Linked DNA regions of Pelodiscus sinensis. The protein of the gene in region 2 interacts with the protein of the main gene of each other region in a biochemical or structural test. Links are inferred from orthologs where the notes say so. Each region holds a gene or a part of one and is shown on either strand. Other genes may lie near its edges.

The links.
Region 1: the proteins of PTEN (region 2) and RPL14 form a complex in vitro, tested with the Homo sapiens proteins (2 studies listed by BioGRID). The link is inferred for Pelodiscus sinensis from reciprocal best matches to the Homo sapiens genes PTEN and RPL14.

What each region holds. Positions count from the first base shown.
Region 1 is NC_134712.1:182,143,253-182,154,064, forward strand, and holds the start of RPL14 (large ribosomal subunit protein eL14), read left to right. Parts: upstream 1-5,605; 5' UTR 5,606-5,732; coding exon 5,733-5,735; intron 5,736-6,892; coding exon 6,893-6,994; intron 6,995-9,855; coding exon 9,856-9,950; intron 9,951-10,812.
Region 2 is NC_134718.1:38,723,209-38,733,793, forward strand, and holds the start of PTEN (phosphatidylinositol 3,4,5-trisphosphate 3-phosphatase and dual-specificity protein phosphatase PTEN), read left to right. Parts: upstream 1-6,624; 5' UTR 6,625-6,767; coding exon 6,768-6,846; intron 6,847-10,585. UniProt on the Homo sapiens protein: Dual-specificity protein phosphatase, dephosphorylating tyrosine-, serine- and threonine-phosphorylated proteins.

The DNA of each region.
Region 1 (10,812 bases), on a different chromosome or scaffold from region 2:
AATGCGCACCACTGGTAGAAACAAAAAGTCTAGTTGGGTGGCATTTGAATCTGTCCTGAGCGACTCCACAAGTGCCCAGCTTACAGGGAACTGCAAGGTGTGCTCAGGAAAAAAACTTTGTTCATTACCATGTAGACCGTGACAGAAGATTTAGGCCACCAAGTAAAAGTGGATCACTCAATTATTAAGCAGCTTTTCGCATTTATTTAAGAAACCCAAACCCATGATTGATATACTAAATGTCAAAATGTATAGCTATATTTATATGCAGAGACATTATCAGCAACTCTAGTAAAGGTTGCATCAAGATTTAGTCTGAAAGTAAGCCTGAAATCCACCTGTTTTGTACTTTAATATTAAATGGAGTCTCCACATGTACAATAACAGTGCTTCGGTGGGCAATTGAATTTAGTCTTTTTTAATAAACATTTACAAAAGAAACATATCAAAGGGTTCCCTTAACAAAATGTTGACCTGTTGTCCACACATTTCTTTGGGTTCTAGACAACCACACCTTTGTCCAGATTTCATATTCAAATAATATCTCAGCTATAGGACTCTTCTGAAATACTGACACACCAAGAAGTTTTCCCTTATCCTGTTGCCCCTGCATATGAGGTTAAACTCTATGGAAGAGAAGGGGCATGGGTAGAGATGTTGGGGACTAGCAGGTTGACCAAGTCTTGGGGAAATGGGGCAAGGGAGTTGCAGGGGTGCACAGGCCTGGAAGAGAAGAGGCTTGTGAATACAGGAACCAGGAATGTGTGACTGGTGGGGAAGGGGGGCAACTGGAATAGAGCTCACTGTCTGAGGGTATGTCTACACTACCCCGCTAGTTCGAACTAGCGGGGTAATGTAGGCATACCGCACTTGCAAATGAAGCCCGGGATTTGAATTTCCCGGGCTTCATTTGCATAAGCGGGGCGCCGCCATTTTTAAATCCCCGCTCGTTCGAACCCTGTGCCGCGCGGCTACATGTGGCACGAGCTAGGTAGTTCAGACTAGGCTTCCTAGTTCAAACTACCGTTACTCCTCATTCCACAAGGAGTAACGGTAGTTCGGACTAGGAAGCCTAGTTCGAACTACCCAGTTCGTGCCCCATGTAGCCGTGCAGCACGAGGTTCGAACGAGCGGGGATTTAAAAATGGTGGCGCCCCGCTTATGCAAATGAAGCCCGGGAAATTCAAATCTCGGGCTTCATTTGCAAGTGCAGTATGCCTACATTACCCCGTTAGTTCGAACTAGCGGGGTAGTGTAGACATACCCTGAGGCAGTAGTGCTAGTGTCTCAACACAGAGGCTATGTCTACATTGGCGCGATCTTGGGCCAGAGCTATGCAAATGAGGCTAAGCGTGGAATATCGCCGAGCCTCATTTGCATATGTAATGAGCCGCTATTTTGCAGAAGAGGCTCTTGCGCAAGAAGGAGCTGTCTACACTGCCCCTTCTTGCGCAAGAAAAACCCTCTTGCGCAATGCCTTTCTTCCTGAAAATAATCAGCGTAATTAACTCCCTTTCTGTTTCTGTTCCCTGTGCTCACCATATACTACCACCACGTGGAGTCATGGAGGAAGGGGGAAAGAGAGAGGCAAGGGTGGTGAGCAGCCAGAGCATGCAATTGAAATCATGTTTGTACTGAGTGGGAGCTGTAGAAGAGAAAGGTGCAACTCCTCCCATGCATACATGAATCACGGTAGTCCCGTGCCTTCCTGGGTCTTGCTCCCCAAAGGATACCACATCCTCCCTGCAGTTTGCTGCCCATATTCCCAGCTGTGATGAGTACTTCAGGGAGTGCTACAGGAGGCGCTCTGTGGGTAACTTTCTTATTCTTTGCTCATATTTTCAATTTTCTCCAATTCTAAGTTTGTATTTACACACTTCAAATTAAATCCTATTAATATCTGTCTGATCAGTTAAAAATGATCTTCCCATCTTTTCATTGAAAGAAAAGGGTCAGAATAGTTTCCTAATTTAAAAAAGACAAACTAAGAACACATTTTCTCTAGTTCCTTGACCAATGCCTATTTCTTGGTCATGGTAGCTAATGTTAGCAGAACACAAAGGCTACGTCTACACTGGCCCCTTTTCCGGAAGGGGCATGTAAATTTCATGAGTCGTCGTAGGGAAATCCGCGGGGGATTTAAATATCCCCCGCGGCATTTAAATAAAAATGTCCGCCGCTTTTTTCCGGCTTTTAAAAAAGCCGGAAAAGAGCGTCTAGACTGGCCCCGATCCTCCGGAAAAAGCGACCTTTTCCGGAGGCTCTTATTCCTACTTTGAAGTAGGAATAAGAGCCTCCGGAAAAGAGCGCTTTTTCCGGAGGATCGGGGCCAGTCTAGATGCTCTTTTCCGGCTTTTTTAAAAGCCGGAAAAAAGCGGCGGCCATGTTTATTTAAATGCCGCGGGGGATATTTAAATCCCCCGCAGATTTCCCTACGACGACTCATGAAATTTACATGCCCCTTCCGGAAAAGGGGCCAGTGTAGACGTAGCCAAACAGCAAGAGGTTTGAAATTATTCTTCCAAAGAGAAGGAAACGGGCAAGATGAAGAACTTATCTTGTGCAGTAGTCAGAATTGTTGGGGCTCAGTACCCCCAAAAGATTGATTCCTCAGTGCCCACTGCCCAGGTCTTCAGGATATATCTCTCCAGTGGTTAAAAACTCACCAAGCCCAGTGAGTTTCAAAGGCACAAATGGTTGTTAAGCACCTAACTCCTATTGACTTTCTGTGCAATTGAGGGGCTTGCCGTTAGTGTCTGAAAATCATCTCCCACATCACAACATTCAGCATTAGAGACCCACTTTGAATTCATGTATTCTAAAGGGATTCAGAGGAGTGGTTTGGATACAACTTTCATTTTTAAGAAGGATAGAGTGGTTATATTTTCAATCAGATCCCAAGCCCCTTAAGGTTCAGGCATGTTTACAGTTAGGCTACGTCTAGACTGGCATGATTTTCCGGAAATGCTTTTAACAGAAAAGTTTTCCGTTAAAAGCATTTTCGGAACAGAGCGTCTAGATTGGCACGGACGCTTTTCCGCAAAAGCACTTTTTGCGGAAAAGCATCCGTGCCAATGTAGACACGCTTTTCCGCAAAAAAGCCCTGATCGCCATTTTCACGATCAGGGCTTTTTTGCGGAAAACAAATCTGAGCTGTCTACACTGGCCCTTTTGCGCAAAAGGACTTTTGCCTGAACGGGAGCAGCATACTATTTCCGCAAGAACACTGACAATCTTACATGAGATCGTCAGTGCTTTTGCGGAAATTCAAGAGGCCAGTGTAGACAGCTGGCAAGTTTTTCCGGAAAAGCGGCTGATTTTCCGGAAAAACTGGCCAGTCTAGACACAGCCAGTGATTCTGGTAGGGCCCTAATTATGACCTATTCAGAGGAAGTTGTGAGAAACAGTCTGCCAGAAACTTTTGGCCATATTGGACCTCAGAGTCATTGGGGAATCCCCATGTACAGCTTTTCTCTAACTGGGGCTTCCAACCAAAAAAAGAAGTTTCAAGGCTACTGTTGGGGGGTTGTTAGTATGGTCACTAGCTGTCTAGGTTTTCCCAGACATAACCTCTTTTTTGGTCCTGAAATTTTCCTCAGAGCAGATTTTGGAAACATTAAAAAAGTCTGATTTTTCCTGGCCTTTCAAACTGTGTGGCTGGAAAGCAGTGGCCACTGTCTGGGCACCTAGTTTTCCTTCTGTGTTGCTGCTTGTGGCACCATTGCCATGCAGAGTGGCATGGTATAGTATTGCCACTCTTCTTTCTCTGCTGCTGGTGGCACTATCTTTGGATCTGTGCAGCAGCAGAGCAAGTGTCCGCTAGCAGGTCAGCAGTAAGTGTCACCACTTGCAAGAGCACAGAAGAAAAGCTGGAATATGGTACTGCCTCTCTTCCCTCTGCACTGCTGCTCATGGTAGGGATGTCTTCTGAGCTGGATGGCAGCAGAGCAATGGCCTCTGATGGAGTGCCCAGTTCAGATGGCATCACTGCTGCTACCCTGCAGCACAAAACCAATGGTAGTGTGCCATTCTTCTTTCTGAGCTGCTGTCACTGCCAGTGACAGTGCTTTCCAGGCTAGGCGACTGGGAACAGCAGCCACTGCAGCCACCCAACTCTGAAGGCAAGGTAGAGTCATGGACATTTTTTCATATTTCCAAAGTCCACCTGCCCAAAGAATAGAGGACTAAAGAGGCCATAGTTGGAAAACCTAAATGTATGGTGATCCTACTAGCGATCCTGTACTCACTTTGTCACCCCCTTTTAAGGTGGGTTCCCCAGTATGAAAAACAGTTCACTAGGGGATTCATCTACAATCCTGAGGTCCAACACAGCCAGTGGTTCTTGGCAGACCATTTCCCACAACATTCATGGAAGTGGTTGTAGATTCTTAGGGAAGTTTTTCGTAGTTCAAATATCTGTCTGGATGGAGACTGGAGGACCAAAAAGGAGGTCATTTCCAGGAAAATCCAGGTATGTTATGCCTGTCAAACATCAGCATTAAACAGAGATATACATTTTTTGTACAAACATATCCAGGGACAAAACAATTGTGTCCACATGCCACTTTTATCAGCCAGAATGTATACAACCTTCTACTAATTCTGTAGTCTCATGTCACATGATGCCTCCTCCTTAATTCCTTGGAATAGCAGAAATTAAATATAGCATCAATGCAAAATTCGTTCAGGGACCATGGCCAACCTCTAGCAGATCAACATCAGGAGCCACATTAAAAAAAATCATGAGACTGGCTTAAAATAATGAGAGTAAAGAGAAATAAACAATCCATTTCGGGTCATTATGTGTCTGCCTTCTGAACCTTGAGGACACACACCGGTGTTTTTAGCCTTTTTTTCTGCAAACTTGGGGACTTCAAACACTTTCTACGTGAAAGCTGAGGGTGTGTCTGCACTCCAGAGCCTATGTTGACATAGCTGTGCCCGCAGACTGCCCTAGCTTAGATGTTGCCAAGACCCACAGGAGTTTTTGTTGGCACCTCCACCTCCCAAACCAAATGAAACGTGCACACTGACTGGCTTAGAAAAGCGGGTGTGGTTTTGGGCAGACTCTCTTTTTCTTCTGGACCTGGCTGGGATTTGTTTTTCTCGTTTGCGCACCGGACAAGAGTTCACACAGACGCTGGTTTAGCGGAGGGCAATAAGCCCTGTTCGCCTCTGGCCCTGAGAAGGGGGAAGGCCCCCCAGAAGCAGACGGCATGAGGAAGGCGCACTGTCCCCGTGCAAGGAACGACGGGCGCAGGGCGGGCACGGTGCGCTACCCCAGCGCATCCCCTCTGCGAGCCCCGCGCGCCGGCTGCTCCCCTTGCGACATACACCTGCCACGCGAGCGCAACAGGGCGCACGCATGCGCACTACAGTAGGGGGCGGGAGCGAGACTCTCCCAACCGCAAAAGAAAGCAGTTGACTGCGCATGCGTCTCGGGAACCCACACGCCCCCTTCCATGCCCTGCAGGCTTGTCACGCATGCGTTAAACATCTCGCCCCTCCCACCACGAACGTTTGGCGCGCATGCGTATTGGAGGAGGAGCGGAAACGCTCGCCTTCGACACCCACCAGGAGGGCCTAGCGCGCACGCGCATTTAGTAAAGCAGCGCTCCCTCCCCGCCTCCTTTTTGTCTCCCCACAGCGGGGCGCATGCGTACTAGAGGATCGGAAGCGGCGTCTGAGCGCAGCGGAAGCCGCTCGCTCTTTTCTGCTCGCGGGCGGCCATCATGGTGAGTGTGTGCGGCTGCGGCCTCCGCTACCTGCCCCGGCATCCCCCCTGCCCGCCCGGCGCGGGGCCCGGGAAGGCGCTGAGCCGCCTCCTCCCAGCGACCGGAGCGGGGCCACGTGCGGCTCCCGTGGCCGGGCTGGCGGGGCCGCTGGGCGGGTGAGGGCGCCGGGCCGCGCACAAGCCCCAAGTGGCTGAAATGGCCCCTTAGCGGTAACGCTTTGGGCAGCGCGCGCCACCTGGGACCGGCACCGAGCGTGTGGCCAGCCCCCTCCCCCGCCCGGCCATAAGCTGCGCCCATATTGTTAACCCCCCCCCCCCGCTTCTCGCGTGGTACCTCCCAGTCCCCCCCTCCCCCCCCCCCGCTGCTCGCGTGGTACCTCCCAGCCCTCCCTCCCCCCCGCTTCTCGCGTGGTACCTGCCACCTAGGCACCCCCTCCCCCGCCCGGTCATAAGCTCTGCGCCTATATTGTTAAACTCCCCCCCCAACTTCTCACGTGGTACCTCCCAGACCCCCCCCCCAACTTCTCACGTGGTGTCTGCCACCTAGGTGCACCGCCTCCCGCGCCCGATGCCAACCATCCCCGCTGCTCATCCCTGCGGGGAACCTGTATATCACCCCCCTGCTAGGAAGGAAAGGCGGGGTGCAGTTTGCTCTGTGTCCCAGGCAATTGATGCATTTGTAGATACGAGTAGCCCTGTGGCACCTTAGAGACAAACACACACATATACAGTATATAGGGATGTCATCTTGTACTGTAGACCACTACACGATCAACTACATGCATTTCCCTCCTGCTCTCCCTCCCAACCTCTATATCAGTGCATTGGCTGCCAGCTCCACCTCTGGGGATTATCGAATAGTTGTTTAACTGCTAAGATTTCATGTGGTTACATGCCTATTCAGTTATATCTAATATTCCCAATAGCATCATGTGCTTTTGGGGGCAAAACCCACGTCAGATCAGAGAAATGGGTTTTGCCCACTAAAGCTCGTACTATTTATATATTTTTGTTGCTCTGTAAGGTGCCACAGGACTACTTGTTCTTAAAGTTACAGACTAACACAGTTACCTCTCTGAGACTTTTGTAGATAGCAATTCCTGGGTTTAGTCATACTACTTGTAGACGTGCTCTGAATTTAAGTAAATCTTTTTCCAGGTGTTCAAACGTTACGTTGAGATTGGCCGAGTTGCCTATATCTCCTTTGGGCCACATGCTGGCAAGCTGGTGGCAATAGTGGATGTTATTGACCAGAACAGGGTAAGCTCAAAGACCTGTAGCCCTCTTCTCCCCTGTTCTTTCGTTCTCTATTTTAAAGATACTTTTTCATACAATACTGATTTTAAAACAGTTTTCTGTACATCATTTCCCCCCCCCCCCTCCCGGGGCTAACAGTGTTAAGGAAAATGCAATACAAATGTGCATGGCAGACTTCAAAAATTAATCTTTGTACGGAGACTTAAGAGATTCCAAATAAGGTGATTTTTCAAACAGTTATGTTTTCCCTCTCAGGATCAATAATAAGGGTAAGAGGGAAGGTCCTTTTATGAATCAGTGAGACAGGAAACCAAGGGTAGGGAACAAATGGACAGTTTTCAGACTGGAGAGGGGTAAATAGCGGTGTCCCCTCCAAGATCCTGTAGTGGGACCAGTGGTGTTCAACCTATCCATAAATGATTGGGAGAAAGAGGTAAAGAGCGAGGTGCCAAAATTTGCAGATGATGTAAAATTATTAACGATATTTAAATTCAAAGCAGACTGCGGGGAGTTACAAAGAGGTCTCACAAAAAATATGGTGAGTGGGCAACAAAATAGCAGATGAAATTCATTGTTGATAAATACAAAGTAATGCACATTAGAAAACATGCTCCCAATTATACATTAGGGCAGTAAGCAAGTAGTCAACTTGGCTATTCATTTCCCCCCACCCCCCTTGTATCTGAGGCAGTGGGGGGGATGGCCAGGAGCTTATATGCAGGTTCCCCACCCCATCACTGTCTCCACTGTGGGCCCCCCCCCCCCCCGCCGCCTCCGGCTGCTGCTTATCTGAGGCAGCAACGGGTTGGAAGAGAGGCTGCTACAAAGCAGCCCCTATTTGCAGTGGGCCCAGGCTGCTCTGGCAGCAGCCCCTGGTTGCAGCCAAGCCCAGCTGCCCAGCTCTTACTAAATTTTAAATTGCAGATCTGCAGCGGTTCCAGCTCACGCCAGTCTGGAGCCTACACCTGCTGGTGCTCTGCAGTGTAAGTGTAGTAGGAGCTGAGTACCTATGTGCCAGCTCCTACTATATTTAAACTGCAGTTGCAGCTGAGAGACCTCCTGGACCAGTGCGATCCAGGACAGAGTGCCATCCCTTATCGACTAATTGTGTAGTTGATATAAATTGTATGGACTACATGATTAGTTACCCGTCTCTTAACATCCTTACTGTACATATAAAATAATGGGTTCTAATTAGCTGTAAATATCATAAAAGAGATATTGGAGTCATTGTCGATAGCTCTCTGAAAACATCTACTCAGTGTGAAGTCATAGTCAAGTGAATACTGTTAGAAACCATAAGGAAAAAGATAGATAAGACGACAGTAAATATGTCATTATATAAATCCATGATACATCCACACCTTGAATACATTATGCAGTTCTGGTTTTTGCGCATCAAAAATAGATACATTAGAATTGGAAAAGGAAAGAGGAGGTCAACAAAAATGATTAAGGTTATGGAACAATTTCCATCTGAGGAGGTTAAAACTGGGGATATTCAGCTTGGAAAAGAGTTGACTAAAAGGAGTTGTGATGGAAGCTGATAAAATCATGACTGCAATGGAGAATGGGAATAGGAAAATGTTATTTACCCCTTCACATCACATGAGAACCAGGGATCTCCTAATGCAGTGTTTCCTGATTTTATTTGGCCACGGAACCCTTTTCAGCTTAAAATAATTTCAAGGAACCCCTAGGGTTCCCAGAGTAAAATTTGGCAAAAAAAAAAAAAAAAAAAAAAAGCCCCGCCAGAATTGGTTGAGCAAAAAAACTCTGCAAAATACTCTGTCTCTTTAAGAGGGGGCGGAGGAATGCCGCATTCTCACGGAACCCTTACTTTTACTTTGCGGAACCCTGGGGTTCCACGGAGCACCAATTGGGAAACACTGTCCTAATGAAATTAATAGACAGCAGGTTTAAAACAAAACAAAGTACTTAGCACCTGCTTCAGTCAGCCTGTGGGACTCATTCCCACAGGTTAATACAGGTCAAAAGTATAGAGATTCTGCATGCAAGGCACTACATTTAGCCGTCAAAAGTATAATTAGGTTATAAAAAGAACTCTAGACAATTCCTTTTAACCAAGATATTCAGGGATGCAACTTCATGTTCTGGGTATCCCTAGCTTCTGACTGTCAGAAACTGGATTTATTATTTGATAAATTGCCCTGTTCTTGTGTCTCCTTCTGAAGCAACTGCCATTGTTAGCAGACAGGATACTGAGCTAGATGGACTATTGGTCTGGCCTAGTATGGGTATTCTTATGTTAATATCTTGCTAAAAGGAGTTGAATACTGTAACTTGTAGTTACAAGTTACAAGAATCCAATACTTGTAACTTGTAAACTGGGAAAGAGGAACACTATCTCCAAACTCACCACAATTTCTGCACTTTTAAAAGTTTAACTTTTTGCTTCTTCAGTCTTCTTGCTCACATGATTGAGCCTGTAGTTCGATATATGTGAACTGTTCCTATTACTACTTGCATTAGGGAGGGGAAAGATGCACAGATGTTTTCTGCTCCTTTAGTTACAGCTGTGATAGAACATGTGTGAATGAGGGAAAAGCAATGCATTGAGATCATGAAAGTTTCCCAGTCTCAGCTCCTCTCTTTTGTCTCCCTTGGCCTTTGGCGTTGTGGAAACTGCGTATTAAATAAACACTAGTTGATCCTGCCATGGAATTTGGGTAGTGTACTCCACTCTTTTTCTGCTTTCCAGTGTTCTATATGCATAGTGCTCTCCCAAGTTTGTAACACTTTCTTCATGTTGATGGGCCATAATTTGTTTAGAAGTAACTTTCTCTAGTCTATCATGGTATATTGGAAAAATGTTAGTGAATTCACTTAAACTTTTGTTCCAGGCACTAGTTGATGGTCCTTGCAGTGGTGTAAGAAGGCAGGCTATGCCCTTCAAATGCATGCAGCTGACTGATTTTGTACTTAAATTTCCACACAGGTAAGTTGTCTTTCCCTCTGGGCTGTGCAAAGGGTACTGACTGTTTAAATCTGACTTAATATAAACTAGCTTTACATTGTTTGTGATCTAATGGAATTTTGTGTCTAAAACTTTGAAAAGATCGTATGGATATGTTTTTTTTTAGAACCTTTGGATAATTTAAATCCAAGATTAATCAACTCTAATGTACTAGTAATTTAATGATGTGTATGCCGTTAAGACCTGGCAAACCATATGATCATGATTAAAAGTACTGGTTTCTTTCCTATGAGTATTTTGATACATAGCAGATTTGACTGAGGCAGCTGCTGTCCCATATTACTTAGAAGGAACAGTGATAAATGAATCACAGTAATGCATAACTTCATGAGTTGGCTCCTACCCAGTAGTCTATGGCTGCATATTCAAAGTGAACTACAGGCAGTCCCCGGGTTACGTACAAGATAGGGACTGTAGGTTTGTTCTTAAGTTGAATCTGTATGTAAGTCGGAACTGGCATCAGCCGCTGCTGAAACTGATCAGTTTCAACAGCCGCTGAATCTGGACACCAGTTCCACTTACATACAGATTCAAGATAAGAACACCAGGCGTCCCCAAGTCAGCTGCTGCTGAAACTGATCAGCAGCTGATTCCAGGAAGCCCAGGGAAGAGCAACTCCTGTAGTCAGCCGCTGGTCAGTTTCAGCAGCGGCTGACTTTGGGACGCCTGGGGCAGAGCAGCACCCCAGCTGCTCTGCCCCAGGCATCCTGATTCAGCCACTGCTGAAACTGATCAGCAGCTGAATCAGGACGCCTGAGGCAGAGCAGCTGGGGTGCTGCCGGGTTGGTCCAGTAGCACCAAGAAGCGGTGCTGCAGGACCAAC
Region 2 (10,585 bases):
TCCCTGTCCCATTCCAAATGCTCTGGTCCCCCTCCTGTACCCATATCCCACTTCAATCCCCTGCCCCAGGTCACTACCCAAACCCTCTGCCTCCCTTCTGCTCCCATATATCCTCTCAAATCTTGCAACCTAATCCCCTAACCCAGGTCACAACTTCTTCCTTTACCAAAACTTACTCCCAGATCCCACCGCTCCTCCATTAATATGGAAGAGTGCAGCCCTTTACCACTTTTCAAATTCTTGGAGTAGCCCCCCAATCAAAAATTATTGCCCACCCCATCCTAAATGGTAAGAGCTAGGACCACCAAATTTGGTATGCTTCCTCTTATCACATAAAGTTTGGTTGGTCAGGCCATTAGGGTGTGCATGGAATGTGATTGTTTCTCATCAAACAGAAAGGGAGAGCTGGGATAGCCAGGAAAGTTATACTCCAGAATGACCACAGAAGAACAGCAAGTACAGGGGACAGCTATACCTCAAAATGACTATAGGGGTCAGCAAGCAAGTATGGCCTTGATGTCCCAACTGCTCTACAGAGCCAGGGAACAGCCGCCAGTTGGGAAGTGCAGCCCCCCACTGCCTCGGCCAGCCCAGGGAAGAGGTCCCCATCACTCCAACAGCCTTGGCGAGCCACAGAGCAGCTGCCAGCCAGGCAGCATGGCCCCTGCCACCCTGTCTGGCCCAAGTGGGTAGCCAGCAGCTGGACAAAGTCATTCCCATAGCCATGGGCCAGCTCCAGGGAGCAGTTGCCAGCGAAGTATCATGGCCTCTGTCACCCCAGCTGGGCCCTGGGCAGAAGTCCACAGCCAGACAGCATAGTCATCACTGCCCCAGGCTGGGCCCAGAGAGCAACCAGTGGATGGGGAGAATGGTTGTCTCTATTGCCCTAAACGCCCCCTCCCCTGCCCAGATCCCTGCATCCTATCCCTTCCCCAGAGCCCCCCACACCACCCAACCCCCTGCCCTCACTCCTCCATCCCACACCCTGCCCTCAGCTCTTCACCCCAACCCTGATTCTTGCACCCCCATGCCACCAGTCTCCTGCCCTGAGCCCCCCACATCCCTAAGTCCATCCTGATTCTTGAATCCCCGCAGCTTCAGCCCCCTGTCCTGAAGGACCCAAGCAATACCAGGTAAACCTTCCAGTGTGATAAATAAATATAGTCCTGACAAAGATGCTTTTGAGCCATTCACTACCTGTGAGTTCAAGTTTCCTGATGATGGAAAACACTTCTGGAAGACGGTGATTTCACCTGATGGAATAACAGATTTTGAAGCTCTGATTGATATAAATTATATCCAATTCAAGGAGAATAATTTTCCTCCCTCCTTGAACAAATCAGTTTTCACATTTTCACTTGCCATGGCAAAACTTGGGGTAGGGGGGCACAGGATTTAAACACCTGTAAACAACAAAAGCTTTGTTTATCAAGTGCAAGTGCAGACATAGCTTAACACAGCCCTGTTATCTCCTGATGGATCCACATACTCATAGGTACTGCTCTACGATATTTACAACCAAGAAAAATGCATGATGGGCCATAAAATCTAGCCCCCACCACACATTAAATCTATTGTGTGCTTTTACCCTATGCTATACAGATTTCTGGAATTGTGGATCCTGATCCACAAGGGAGTTGCAAGGGTATCACAAAGTTTTTTAGGGGGTGATCACAGTATTGCCACCTGTTGGCTACGTCTACACTGCTTCTTTCTTGTGCAAAAGCCTATGCAAATGAAGCATGGATTAGCATATTGCCATGCTTCTTTTGCATAATTAATTAGGAGCTGTTTTTGTGCAAGAGGTTTTTGTGCAAAAAGGAGCCATTTACACAGGAAGAACAGCTCTTGCACAAGCAGTGTTTTTTGTGCAAAAAAGCTCTGTGTAGACAGCTCCTTTTTGCACAAAAATCTCTTGTGCAAAACCAGCTCCTAATTATGCAAATGAAGCATGACAATATGCTAATCCGTGCTTCATTTGCATAGGCTTTTGCACAAGAAGGAAGCAGTCTAGACGTAGCCTTTCTTTGCTCCCTTCAGAGCTGGGCAGCCCAAAAGTGGCAACTGTTGGCCCAAGTACCCAGCTCCGAAGGCATTGCCCCACCACCTGAAACACAGAAGTAAGGATGGCAATATCATCTTACTTCTGCACTGTTGCTGTCAGAACTAGGTGGCTGGAAAGTGGCATCTGCTGACTGATGTCCCAGCTCCTCAGGCATCAGTGAAGAAGAGGGGATGGCAATATCATACCATGCCATCCTTATTCCTGTCTTGAGAGCTAGGCTTCCAGCCAGCACCTGCCTCTCTGCAGCAACCCAGCTGTGAAGGCAGCACCGCGTTATCAGCACAAGAGTAGCAGTACAACAGTCCCGTTCCCCCCCCCCCCCCCCCGCCCCGCCATAACTTTGTGGTCCTCACTCACTACTCTTTTTTTGGGTCAGGATCACGACAATTATAACACCATGAAGTTTCAGATTTAAGTAGCCACCTGTTGGCTACGTCTACACTGCTTCCTTCTTGTGCAAAAATGATTTACATTTTTCAAAATCTCATGACCATGAAGTTGACCAGAATGGGCCATGAATTTGGCAGGATCTATATATACGCTTTTCATGACATTAATTTCATGACTAATTTTCATAAAATCACAATTCAGAAGTGATATGGACAGAACCCCCAAGTCTTCTCATATGGCAAGTAATTGCCCATTCATAATCTACACACTGCACTCTGTCTCTGATGCTCTTTAACTACATATATAGTGGGAATGATGCAAAAATGAGAAGTGCAACTGGGTTGGGCATGGAAGAGATGAGGAAGAAATAGTTGGTGAATTGCAGTTGTTGATGTACTACTATTGTGCCCTGCTCTCTGTTCCTCCTGTCAGGATGAACTGACTCCTCTGGGACCTATGAGGCTGCAGGGGGCAGTAGGTGCCCATATACTAGCTCAGAAACTACAGCTGTCCTAGAGGTGATTCTTTAGAAAAATCAAACTAATGAATTGACATGACATGTTATACAAGTATTGCGAAAACATAGAAAAGCACTTTATCAGAAGTAGATATAACACATTGTTTGGTGGTTTATTTTCATATTACATTTCTCAGTAAAAATCAGGTTTTTATACAGATTTCATATTATAGTCACCTTTATTCTCATGCACAAGTTTTTAATTGCTATTGTTTGAAGCCTTTAATCATTTATGATACTTAATATCTCCTTCTTTACTCCTATTTTAGATAATAGAGTAGGAAAATACTTCAACTGCATTCTCTTTTCTGTTATGCTGATTGCATAATCATTCCAATGGGGTTGTGTTTCCATTTCTTGTTAGTTAACATTGTATATGTGGGGCGAGTATGCCTTATCTTTATGTAAATCTACATAGCAAGGTATCTGTTATGGGTATATGGTCCTGCTGCTTGTGGTTATTTTTACTCTTGCTTCCACTACCTATCATGCTGGTACGTCTTGTTTTAATGTTTTTAGCATCACTCTCTTAGGCTACATCTACACTGTGTACCTTAGAGCAGCACAGCTGTGCAATTACAGCCATACCATTGCTTCAGAGGGGTAGCCAAGTTAGTCTGTAATAGGAGAAACTTAAAAAAATAGTATGGTAGCACTTTAAAGACTAACAAAACATATAGATGGTATCATGAGCATAGCCCACTTCTTCAGATGACCACCATACCATTGTAAGGTATGCAACACAGTCCTTTGCTGGCAGGACAGAGCTCTCCTGCTGGCAAAAGAAAACCACCTCAATGAGGGACAGTAGCTTTGGTGGTAGGAGATGCTCTCCTGCTGACAGAGTGCTGGCCATAGTGGAACTTTCTGTAATTAAGATTATTTTTTTTGTCAGTTGGCATGTGTATGTTTCACACCCCTGACTAGCAGAAGTTTTATTGACAAAAGCGCAGTGCAGCCTGAATATCTAGGATCCTAACATAGCCTTAGCTGCAGGCTGGGTGCGAGAAGTGGGTGTGACAGACAGCAACTGAAGCTCTGATTTTTTTTTTGCAGAAAGATTCTGGCTGACTTACAAATGTTTCCTGTGCATAGGTAACAGGTGGTGCCATAACCCATGCCACAGACTGATCACACTCACTCACCCTAACTAGAAGTGACAACTCTGTTTCACAAATTCAGAAACTGTTTTCCTTCTGTATTTCCATAAAAACAGAATTGTATTGGAGGAAGGAGGTAGCATCAGTCTCCCTCTAGCTTGGTGCTTAAAGTACTGGTCTGGACTGTATGGCTATGGCTATATCTAGACTACAAGCCTCTTTCGAAAGACAGCATCTGGAGTACAAGCAGATTTTTCGAAAAAGCGAGCCACTTTTTTGAATTAGAGTCTAGACGCTCTTTTGAAAAAGCAGTTTGCCGTCAATAGTGTCTTTTTTAGAAACAGTACTTTCAAAAAAAGGCATTATTCCTTGTAAAATGAGGTTTACCATGATCAAAAAAACTGCTGTGTTTTTTATTTAGTTTCAAAAGAATGCAGCTGCAGTCTAGAGGCAGGTAAAGGTTTTTTGAAAAAAGGCTACTTATTTCCAAAAAACTCTGTAGTCTAGACACACCCTATGAGACCCTCACCCCCAATTACCTGCTGTGCTTGATTTAGAGCAAGGACCTGAACCTCCCCCACATCCCAGCTATGTAACCTAATCCACCCACCTGTAGATTCTCTGCCCAGGACCCAAAAACTTTTCAAATAAAAATTTAATGCAAACAAACACATTGCTATTAAAATTTTAATCTTAGTCAAAACAGTGTATTTTGCCAAACCATTTCAACCAACATCACTTCAGTTATTCCTAATATTACATGGTTTAATACAAATTATCTGCCAACCGCATCTGATTCTTTCTTCTCTTACACCTGATGCAGCCCCAGGACCACTACATTCAGGGATTGCTTTATTCCATGCAGCCAGCCATCCTTCAAGTTTTCCTATATAAACACTTCTCTTCTCTGGAATAACTTTCCTACCTGGGAGGATGATGCCCTCATATATTTTCAGTCTCTACATGGTGTTCCCAGCAACCAAGTGCTGCAGCATCTGCATCTAAAGCAGAATTCCAGGGACACTGATGACATCATCAGTATTTTTACAGTTTTGAAGAGCCATTCTCTTCTCCATTCCAATTACCTCTTCACCTTGACCTTGTTCCTCATCTTCTCCATCACCCTCCCCCTTCCTCTTTACCTTATCTCCATTCATTAAAAAACCCTAACCACCTTCCTTACAAAATAAAACGAATGGGCATGCCATTCGGTGTTCCTGCAGTGTTCACTGGGGGTCGGCACCATATCCATTCTCCAGCGCTTAGTCCGATCTGTCAGGTTCATTCAGATTCTTGGGCCAGGCCCGGTTTGCTCTACGTGAACAGCATTTACTACAGTGGAGCTCGGCTTCTCAGCTGCTCCCTAACGCTAGGATCATACCGCCAGCCACAGAAGCTGCCTGCAGTGCTAGCTCCGCACTGGACACAGCACCTTGCCTCGTTCCCGGGGGCTAGGAAGAAATGCGGCGGGCAGGTACCCAGATCACGCTGCACCTACCCCACCGCGGGGGCCCACGCGTCCCGGATCTGCCCAAACCCCGCAGATCTACGCGCCCGAGAGAAGCCCATCAGCGGCCAGGCTCCCGCTCCCGATCGAACGCGAGTTGTGCTCCGCCAGGGGGGGTGAAGTGGGAAGCGCCGGCGCAGGCAGAAAAGGGCCCCAACCAGCCCCACGTGACTCCACAGGGAAGTAGCTCCGACGCGGTCGTAACGTGAATTTATCCTTCCGCCACCCTGTGGCCGGGTCGCCGTTGGCACGCCGGGACGGCTCTTCCACTTCCCTCATCACGACCGCCGCGTTTTCCCGGGGTGCAGGAGCGAGCCGAGGAGCGGGCGGTGCCGCGGATGGGAGGAGTGGTGGTAACAGCGGCAGCGGGACGCTGATGTGGCGGGACTATTTCGCCTTAGCGGCGGAGGAGGCGGGGGGCGGAGCCAGGCCCCTCTCCTCTCGGAAGCTGCAGCCATGATGGAAGTTTGAGGCGCTCAGTGTCGCTGGGGCGCGGAGGAGGCCGGGGCCGATGAGAGCGGGCAGCCTGCAGCCCCGCACGCACCGCAGCGCCTGAGCCCGCGCGGTCTCGCTCCTCGGTGTGAGGCGCCTCCGGACGCGCCGCCTTCTCCCGCGAGGCCGGGAGCGCCCGCCCGGCTGCGCGGCCCCATCGCGCGGGCTCCGCCGCCGCCCCGGGCGGGGAGCTGAGCTGAGCGGGACGGGGGGGCCCGAGTCGCTGTCACCATTTCTGGGGCCCGGCGCGCTGGAGAGTTCCCCTCTCCGCCTCCATCGCCTCAAAGACGGCGGCGGCGGCGGCGGCACACTCAGGGACCTGGGCCGACTCTAAACCCTTCCGCCGCCGCCGCCGCGGCTCCGGCGCCGCTCTGGGCAGCTGGGGAAGGAGGGAGCCGCCGCCGCCGCCGGGAGCCGCCGCCGCTGCAGGGGGAGGAGGGTTCGCCGCTTCCCCCATCTTCAGCCGCCGCTTGCGGGCCTGGGGCTGAGCCGCAGAGGCAGGCCCTGTCCACGGTGCCATCCAGCAGCAGCAGCCATTACCCGGCCGCCGTCCAGAGCCCAGCGGCCGCCGCTGCAGCGGGGAGTGGGAAACCAGTCACAGCCGAGCTTAGGGCCATCTGCAGCCCGCCGCTGCAGAAGCCGTCGCAGCTGCCGAGCCTGTCCTCGCTATTCCTGAGTAGCCCCCGGCTCCCAGACATGACCGCCATCATCAAAGAGATCGTCAGCAGGAACAAAAGGAGATATCAGGAGGATGGCTTCGACTTAGATCTAACCTGTATCCTCGCCCGGCCCGCGCTAGCGTTTGGCTCGCCGTTTCTCTGGGTGCCTTGATCATCTCCCCAGCGACCTGTAGTGTTAATGCTGAGCAGGGATGTGTGTCTGTTTCTCCCCCCCCCGCTCTTCTCCAGGGCTGCCATATTCCTGACTGAATTTGCTGTTCTCTCCAGTGCAGCCAGAGCCCAGTTGGGCAGGCTGAGCGCTCGGCCTAGGCCCAGCACCCGGGATAGAGATGAGATTAAAATGGAAATGAATGCTGCACGTACAGCAATTGCATCAGATTCTTACAGTAATTATGTAGTGTGCCTGCTCGTGTTTTTTGTGTATTTGTGTTCGGCATAATTATTTTGAGCACTATCAGATTTAAAAAGTCAGATGTGCGGCTAGGTTTCTGCAGTTACTGTAATTGGAAGTTGGTCAGTTTTTAGCAACCATATTGCTTTGTTTCATGAAACTAAAGCATTATGTTGTAGAAAAAGCAACATCCTAGGTCGGTTGTTGTCTGTCTTCCAGTTGATTGATGTAGATTGGGGTATGAACATTACCTGCTTGATAGTTGTTGTTTTAGATTCTATTATGTAGTTCAGAATAGAGGTTGAATAGTTATTTGGTCAGTAATTATGATGTCATGCAGATTGAGTATTATCTGTAGTAAATGGTGATTGCAAAGATTAACAGTAGTACTCGTTTGAAATCAAAGCATTCTAGTAGGACCTGTATTGACACTTTTGCTTTAGGTGTCATGTACTAGATACAGTGATGTCATTGCTCATGTTCAGCATAATGCCATTTAAAATAGAGCCTCTTACCTTGATGTTTGATTTTTAGCTCAAATATAAAATGTAATCATTCTACTGTACTGCAAATAGTGATGCCTTTTTCAATTAGTAATTCAGCATTTCGAATTGGAAACATAATTTTAGTGGGCATGTGACTTATCTGCTATTTTCTTGTTCTTTGCATAAATAGATACAAAATATGTGTTGTGCAGTGAATGAAGCATACTTTTCCAGTTTTTAACTAAAACATACGTTGTATATAAATGACAAGAATGTAAGAAAATAACTATTAATTTAAAAATTGCGTCTCTTTAAAGAACACCAGTTTCTTCACTCAACCATATTTTACACTGGTAGACTTTGTGTGCATTGACTTACCCATGGATTAGGACATTTCACAAACAAAAATAGTGGATGAGGTTCCTTTTTTTCTGCTGTCCGATATGTTTTGGGAACTCTTGAGAAATGTAGTGTTCGGGGACATGTAATCTAGCTGCATTAGGATTAGCAAGTCAAACCATGGAGCATTAAAAGGAACTGCATAGCCTTTGAACAGATGTACTATAGCAGCAACAGCAGACAGATGTCTGGCTTTGAATATGTGCTGCAAAGTTAATGGTATATAAGATTGTATTGTAACAGATTAAACTATCAGAATTAAGTTCTGTTACTTGTCACAGATACTATTAACTAAACGTAGAATTTGTTATTTATGAAGTAGTTTTAGTGCTTAAGTAATGAATATGGTATTCATTTTCAGAAGGAGGTTCTGATTTAGAATGGTTTTACAGTAGGGTTAAGATCAGCTTATTGCTCTTCTGACTGTGAGCAGAATTGCATCACAGGTACTGGATTTCTGTATGGAGAGAGAAAAGTGCCTGTAGTACAGAATATCTACTGTTACATTGATTTGGGACTCAAACTAAATATTTGAAGACTTAAATGTGTGATCCCATGAAGTGACCATTTAGCTTTTTTTTAATTACCTGCTGCTTAGTAAAATATTTCGGTTTTAGTAAATATTTTTTCTTTCATTGGGAACATATTGATCAATTAATGGGTTGCTATTTCAGAATTTCATTTTAGTTCTTTAAACTTTTTTGTTTTTCTGTGATGTGTATAGTAATACATACCTGCATTTTCAAGTTAGTATTATAAAACCTGCAAGATTGATATCTGCTCTGAAATATAGCTTACAGACTTTAGTTTATTTGCTACACTAAATGATGTACTTACTGATTTCTTCTATAATGCTGGTAAACACGGAAAACCAATAGCAAGAAACCTAATTTCATACTTCCCAGTTCTAGGGTTTGTTTGTAAAATACTTTGTCATAATGGCATACTGTAACAAAGCAGAATTTCATTTTAGCAGAATTTCATTTTAACTATTCATCTGCACATATATCTATCTATTTTTTACTTGCCAAGAAGAATCTTGTAATTTAGTTAGTGATTTTACTCATCAAGCTCAGAGTTTTGAAGAATACATTAGGTATAGTTACAAAATGTATTTTCTTTTCTGACTTAATAAATAGTTCTATGAACTCTTTCCTTTTTAGATTTACCTTGGAGGACATAACAAATTAAACTAGAAATTGGCTATTTAAGCTCATAGAAAGATTGGTTTTAGCAATAGTTCAGATTAAATGAAATAATATCAAAGTAATATGAAATATTTTCCCATAAGATTCTATATTTTCTGTAGACTATTTTGAACAATGGAAGAAGGCTCTATGTAGTAAATAAGCCCTAATTGAAAGTATTGGTGAGCATTTGGGTTTTATAACTTTTTGTGAATCCTGCACAGGGAGACCTTTGACAAAGTTGTTAATGGGTAGTTAGTTTTGTCTAATGCCTCAAAAGTTATACTGTTTTCTCCTTTACATGAATTAGGAATTAAGTTAAATCTGCAGACTAACCTTGGTTAATCTTCAGGATGTAAATGGTTAACTGGTAACCCTCACCCTTAATGGGTATGGCTTACTGATTCTGGTTAATAGGTAGGAGCTGGTGCAGCTCCCTACCCTGGGTGCCCCGCAGGGCCCACCTCAGGCCAAGGGTATTCTGGCTTGCCAGAGCAGCTGTTGTCTGTGGCAGGCCTGCCCTCCAGCTGCAGGTTACACACGGGCTCCCTGACAACAGGGCCAGCAGCCTCCTGCGGAGCTGGTTGTGGAACTGACAGCGAAACTTCCCTCTGTGGGGTCTGCTGTATAAAATTGATATATAAGCTTTAATATTGCAGAGCCCACAGCACATTTAACTGCTAGGATTTTTAGCGGTTACATGGTTACATATTTAAACGACTTTTTACATCCCTAGATGTGCTGAATTTGTGGTTAAAGACTGTTCGTAACTTTGAGAGAGACTAGATTTTAAATGTAGCACAGAATGAGGTGTATGATTATGCAATTTAAGTATCAGCATTGATACTTTCATTGATACTTTTCATTGACTTTCATTGTGTTTTTAATATAAAAAGGATGTCACGTTAGTTTTAAAAGAACTAAAGTTACATATTTTTCAAACAAACTTCTTTTTAACAAGGGTATTTAGATGGTCTTTTGGAGTTGGGGTGGAATTGTGTATGTATGGGTAATGGTCACATCTGAAGATTAATGCCACTGATGTTTTTACATTACATGATCAGAACATCATAAACTATCACTTAACAACTGTCATATGATAAAATCAGTTTTTCTGCATGAATAATTTAAAATGACTGCACCATTTTTTAAACATTACACAGATTGAACTGCTAAATGTCTTATGTCGCATGTAATTCACCATTTGTAACAGATTTTTGGTATATCCTTGGAATGGCTGTAGGAAGGAATGCCTTCAGAACTGTATCCGGTCATTTAAAAAAACGTCATATTTTCGTCTGCCTTTGGTTTCTTCTACAATATTTATTTCTACTTGTCTGAATAGTGTTAAAATACTTCATGAAAATAATGG